Linked DNA regions of Bombyx mori. The protein of the gene in region 2 interacts with the protein of the main gene of each other region in a pairwise test. Links are inferred from orthologs where the notes say so. Each region holds a gene or a part of one and is shown on either strand. Other genes may lie near its edges. The genes, in order: mitochondrial matrix protein p33 and phospholipid scramblase 1.

What was found.
Region 1: the proteins of phospholipid scramblase 1 (region 2) and mitochondrial matrix protein p33 interact in a two-hybrid assay, tested with the Caenorhabditis elegans proteins (2 studies listed by BioGRID). The link is inferred for Bombyx mori from reciprocal best matches to the Caenorhabditis elegans genes scrm-1 and cri-3.

The regions. Positions count from the first base shown.
Region 1 is NC_085114.1:15,032,480-15,035,424, forward strand, and holds part of mitochondrial matrix protein p33, read right to left. Parts: intron 2,402-2,945; coding exon 2,251-2,401; intron 2,049-2,250; coding exon 1,852-2,048; intron 528-1,851; coding exon 439-527; intron 1-438.
Region 2 is NC_085111.1:8,953,142-8,956,982, forward strand, and holds part of phospholipid scramblase 1, read right to left. Parts: intron 2,042-3,841; coding exon 1,880-2,041; intron 157-1,879; coding exon 115-156; 3' UTR 1-114.

The DNA.
Region 1 (2,945 bases), on a different chromosome or scaffold from region 2:
ATTAAACTAAGTGCCTTATGTGTTGTTTAATTTTACATAAAATTTGTGTCCAAGTGGCTTGAAACTAAAATTAAATCTCTCTAAGCAACTTGTAAGCTACTTACTAGAAAATACACATAGAGAGGTTGGCTTTCAGATCTTTTTGAGCTGATATAATAATATGTGAAACTAATATCTATACTAATATATCAATCTAGTGGTTTTTACGGATGTTCCGTTATAACTACTGAGCCATGCCGATTGACTTGAAACTTAGTATCCATGTAGAAAATACATGTACTTATATTTATATGAGTGTTGGACTCCCTAATAATAATGACAATAAATAATAATGTTAATTTTAAATCCCAAGCGAAGCGGGCGAGTACGGCTAGTATTATATAAAACCGACAAGATGCTGTATCTTACATACTAAATAAAGATGAATAGATAACATACCCCATCGAGCACATCACCAGCGACTGCATACACTTTGTCATTCCATTCACCCTTATATAGGGTTATTTCGTCAATGCCGAACACATCGTCTGAAAACACAATTTAAAAGTAGTTAAATTATAGTACTTAGTTTCCGTTGAAGTTGAGTTGATTAACTGCAATTACATTAGCCTACTAGCCTCTGAGAACTACTATGACCAAAGCTTACAGCATGGCCGGATCTGAACAAATCTTACGACTTAACATATCTTTTGCGTGAAGTGGAAATTTTCAATCATTTTTGCCCCTATAGAACTATAAAAATTATAATCTGGTATTTTGTATGTGATACCAAATAATTTATATTTGCAAAAAGCTCTGATCTTTTTTGTCTATAATGTGTTGATTCAATGCTAACAATGTCAATAATTGAATTATTTTTGCTTACATAGACTATTTTAATATATTTTCATTTTATTTTCAATAATCAAATTTACAGACAACTACTGTTAGATAAAGGCCTCCTGAAGGTCCAAAACAACCCCCAAAAAATCAAACCCGCAAAATTATAATTTGCATTATTACTGGTGGTAGGACCTCTTGTGAATCATCACGGGTAGGTACCACTACCCTGCCTATTTCTGCCGTGAAGCAGTAATGCGTTTCGGTTTGAATATATACTTGAGACCTTAGAACTTATATCTCAAGGTGGGTGACGCATTTACGTTGTAGATGTCTATGGGCTCCAGTAACCACTTAACACCACGTGGGCTGTGATATCGTCCACCCATCAAAGCAATAAAAAAAAAACATCGACATCATGCTGCTCAGATCTACTGGATTCTTGCTACCTTCACACCTTTAGTACTTCATCTAATACAACAGCAATTTTGATACCCCTATACACAGATCAAAAGTGAATAATGATGACACCTTGATATTTAAGATTGAGGTTATATATTAATTGTATTATGGCAGAAACAAAAAGGGAAAAAAGGAAAGGGGAGGGTGAGTCTTGACACATTCTTGCACTATCACCAAATTCTAAACTGAAATAAACTTTTTTCTTTGTAAATTGTATATCGACACTTGAAAGGCAAATGTGACTAAGCGACAGTGCGTGAACTTTACAGTAGACTAATTTAAAGTTGAAATATTTGAAAACAAAATTTATTTTAATGAATCTAGCTGTAGTAGAATCTAGCTAGTAGCTGTAGGATTGGAATGCTTTTAATAGACCTAGAAATATTTTTTTTTGTGCATTGAATATGGTTATTACCTATCATTTATGTACAAAGCAGTTATTGTCGCTTAGTCACGTTTGTCTTTCAAGCGTCGATATGGTAAACAGACTATTTTGACTTCTTAGTACTCAATCTTTAGACCCATTTGATTAATCAGAATCAAGAAATAATTAAGTTTATGTATACTCACTATATTCATCAGCAGAAGCTGCAGGTGGATCTTGAAGATAGGAGCAGGTGAAACCAAGGGTGGTGTCTCCTCGGACTAGGTCAACCTCAAACTGAGGTTTGGAACGCATCTCAGAGAACTCTTGCTTCTCAGTCTGAACATCACCCTCAAAGTCATCAGAGTCCACAGTGTGATTAACGTTGAATGTGACACGAATTCTGAAAAAAATATATAGTTAGACTTAAAATTTCACTATTTTTAATGATATTTCTGTGGGCTTGTTTCTTTAGTTTTTCGAATTTCAACAAATTGACGAAGATTGCTGGGCAGTAAAATAAGTATTTGGCAACATTTATTAACAACTGTTTCCCCAAAAAAAAATTATTCAATATTTCTCCTTCTCAAGATTTCATTACTTACGTTTCATCTTTAAGCTGCTTTGTTAAAACAACTTCAGCACCGTCTCCCTTTACAGTAAAGCCTTCGACTTCAGCAGGGAGAGACTTGACCTTCTGTGCTTTGCGTTCAGCAACTATTTCTTCTGTCAGGAACTCTACCAGTTCTCTTTCACCTGAATTTATATAAATTGGTTTTATTATGTACATTGAGAATGAAAATAAGTGCAATTTATTCTACAATACTGTAAAACATTCAATAAGTAGGTAATGAATTTTAATCAACAAACAACAAGTTTATAATACACAAACAAGGTATTTTTTTAATTTCTCTCATTTCACTACTATTTTATTAACTACAACAACTACATTAGATTTACATTACTCTTGATTATAATGATGAATAGTAATAACTGCAGATCAACAGAGAAAATCCAACTATACTATTCAACACTATATTTCATTGTGCCTGTCAGAATATAAGTTAGTAGGATGTTAACATTTTTAGAGTAGAGAATAGTACTACAGATAGCGAGTTTGGATATACAGTCAAAATCTGTTATAACGACATCGAAGGGACTGCTCATATTAAGTCGCAAAAACCGATAGTCGTAACAACCGGTGATGTTTAATGTGTATCGTGCAAGTACAAACAAATCGATAGAGAGTTATTGGAAAAATATATTTACATAATACGCGATTTTTCTTCAATATTAATTT
Region 2 (3,841 bases):
CAAAACTTAAATCTCATAGTTGGAAGTTGCAGCAGTGGTAATCAATAAGGCCTTGGCCCTTCTTTTTTGAATATAAAAAAAAAAGTTCAGTTGTGTTGAAGAAATTTGAATTCATCAGTTGCGATTGTTGTTGCCTTTTTCAAAGAACATAAAATCCTGTAAAGATAATATTTAATTAATGTATATTCCTATTGAATATTCGGAATTTCGATTGAAAATTGATTGCAGCATTGGTATTCTTGATATGTATGCCTGTAACTAATGAAGTTGACTGAAACATTCTGGCACAATAAGTAAGAGATTATGTGAAGAACCTACGGCTTGCACATTTTAATTTTTATTTATTAGGGTTGTGGGATTGCTTTTGGTCCAGAGCCCTAACCCATAGACACAAGCCATTGAGTTTCTCGCCGGATCTTCTCAGCGGATCGCGATTCAGATCCAGTTGTAGATTCTGCGAAGCACTGCTCTTGTTAGGGCTCGTGTAAGCAAATTCTCCCAGGGTGAACCTGTGAGCTCACCTACCCGTCCGCGTGTAGTTACGAGTAACCCATTAGGCTACCAGCGAATAGACAGGGGAAGAAAGGTCCAGAGTATTTTCCAGCTTCACAAGCATGGGTTCTCATTTTTTCAACTAAATGGCAGTTTTCGTGTTTTTTCATTTTTTTTATTGCCCTTGTGGGCAGACGAGCATACGGCCCACCTGATGGTGAATAGTTACCGTCGCCCATGGACTTCAGCAATGCCAGGGGCAGAGCCAAGCCGCTGCCTACCGCTTAATACACTCCACAAGTCTCGTTTGAAGAAGGACATGTCATGGCGCTCGGGAAAAACCGTGGAGGGGAGCTCATTCCATAGCCGGATGGTACGTGGCACGAAAGACCTCTGGAAACGCACTGTGGATGACCGCAGTGGCTCCAGGTAGTATGGATGAACTCTACTCCGGTGGCGGGCGGTGCGATGGTAAAAACGAGATGCCGGTATCATCTCGAACAATTCCTCAGAGCACTCCCCATGGAACATACGGTACAAAAAAAAGAGGGAACCGAAGTCCTTCCGCAGACCCAGAGGTTCCAAAAATGTGATGTAATGTCTATTCATTTCGGTATCAACATAACACTCCCTGTAGACCGTGAGTTCATCTACCCTACTAAACTAATATAGAAAAACAATAGAATATGGAGTATATTGTACTTATCTCTGTACTCACTGTAAGGGACTGTGAGCGAAACGGTAATACTACTTAAAATTGGGAACCAGTTGGCATTATGAATGATATCGTAACTTCCGATTATTAAAAATATGGAACCATGACAGTAAAGTAATAATAAAAATAAATTATTTTATAGGTGCCTATTATAGTCTTTTTTAAACGGTATAAGATTGAACGGATGAGGTAACTGTTCTATCAAGATTTTATTTTTATTGCTTAGATAGTTGGATGAACTCACGGACCGGACCACCTGATGTGATTACGTGGTTATCGGAGCCCACCCGTGCGGACTCTCAAGACGTCCTACCACCAGTAATTACACAAATTATAATTTTGCGCGTTTTGATTTTTATTACACGACGTTATTCCTTCAGCGTGGAAGTCAATCGTGAACATTGTTAAGTACGTACTTCATTGGAAAAATTGGTACCTGCCAGCGTGATTCGAACACCGATGCATCGCTACATAAGAATGCACCGGACGTCTTATCTTTTAGGCACGACGATTTCAAATTTTCCATTCAATTTCCACGTCACGTCTATAGAATCCGATAACTAATTATAATTAGCGATCCTGAGCTCACATGTCATAATTCAGCCGATAATATAAAAAAAGTGCTTCAGTAATAGTTTTGTCGTTAGCAAAATTAAGAAAAAACATAGTTACTATGAGAAAACATGCTCCAAGGAGTACAGCTTTGATTTTGACGTCCAGGTCCATCGGGAAACTTATCCCAAAATTGTCGGCATCGGTGAAGGCTTCGCGTGCAAATCCAGACCACGACTTCGTGATTTTGCCAACTTTCGTTTCTCCATCCTTCGAATACACCTGGAAAATTTTTTGTGTTCGAGACTTAATTATTTAATCTCATTCATTACAAAATATATTTTTGAAAGTTTTTATGTTGGATTCTAGGAGCAACAAAGAAGAGGCAGTGTCATCAAATATTAAGCAATTTCATAGGTATATTGGTAAAGCCATCAAACAAAATAAATATTCAATTATGTTACTATTTTAATTCAGCTCGTCAAAAATTCGCTACAATGGACACAATGAATTGCAATTGATGTACAGGGGAATGTTTTTGTTCTCAGATAGTCAATCCTAGTTACGCTTAGTGCTCGTGAACAAAATTAATTTACTGTCTGTCACCAAACGGTTAATTTGGACGATTAGCTATGGTATTATAGGGATCGCTGCAAAATTGCGCTTTCACCGCGACGTAAACAGTCATTGTCACCAATAACAATAGTCTCAAGGAATTTCAGACTTATAAACAGTTTATTTGGATTAAAATGCTTTTTCGTTTATGTTATCATAACATTTATTCTTATTCAGGTTCGCGAAATATTTCACCTTGTATTTTTAATTCATGTTATGTCATAGCAGTTTCGTTAACTACCACAATTAGACAAGGCCACTCCCGTATTATTGATGTACTTGTAGTGCTACAAAGAGAGAATCGTTTTCGTGTTTTACCCAATTCCCAGTCCAACGTGTGATTATTATTTAAAATGAAATGACAATGACTTTTAATAGAGAGTTTAACAGAAAGTTTAACAACGAGACTTTTAACACACATATGTAGATGGGCAAATTAGTTCACTTACAATTCATAAGAATGACGAAACCTGATCCATTTTTTAATTGTATTACATTATCTGCTATACTAATTTTCAAACCGGAATGTACCTGCTTGACATACTTCATGACAAAAATAGACAAAACAATGATACTGATCAGTGCGTCCTTACAGTATAGTCTAGTCAACAAGTTCAAAAACGTGTTAAATAGACATAAAGCTCCTAAAAATATGTACGATAGCTCATTGGATGCGGAATGATGTCTACAAAAATGTTTTTTAAGGGCTTATTAGCACATAAAAAATTGCGATTGTTATAAACAAAATAAGATTTAAAAAAAAAGGAATTTGGTTTTTCCTTAATTATTTCTAAAATAATGATATTTAAGGAATTTTGAAAAAAGATGCTGAAAGAGGAGGAAATTTCCAATAAAAAAGTCCCAACTTCCGGAATTCTATCTCTATTATTTATAAAAAAAAATTAACGCTGAAAATAGCGCTCCGCGAGGTCGTTACGCCATAGGCGCGCCGTCTAAAAAGCCGGTATATCACCTAAAATATTTTTTTTATAGTATTAAATAACAATTTAAAAATTTGAATAAATTATGGTGTAATCTAAACACTTGAACGAAAAAAACCTCGGTGAAAAAAAAATTTTATATCGATTTTTAAAAAATTTACACCATTGTTAATTAACTAACTTTTTTCCAATCTCTGTTTTTATAAATTACGGTATAAAAGCTACAATAATTCATCTATAAATTTTTCCCTTCGTGGAGCTCTTATCATTTAAGTACTTAATAAAGTTAAGCAAAAAAATTTTTTTAATCTTTATTATTTTGATAATTATAATTTTTTTTAATTAACAAAAAATGAAATTTCTAAAAAATGTTATGAAAAATAGTTTTTTTTCGTAATATCTAATATTGCTGTTTTTGCATCTACCATAGGTATTAATTAACATTTAAAAAAAAAATTTTACGCTGTTTGTTAAGAAATTGTTTATAAATAAATAGACTATTTTGGGATTTAAAAAAAAAAAAAAA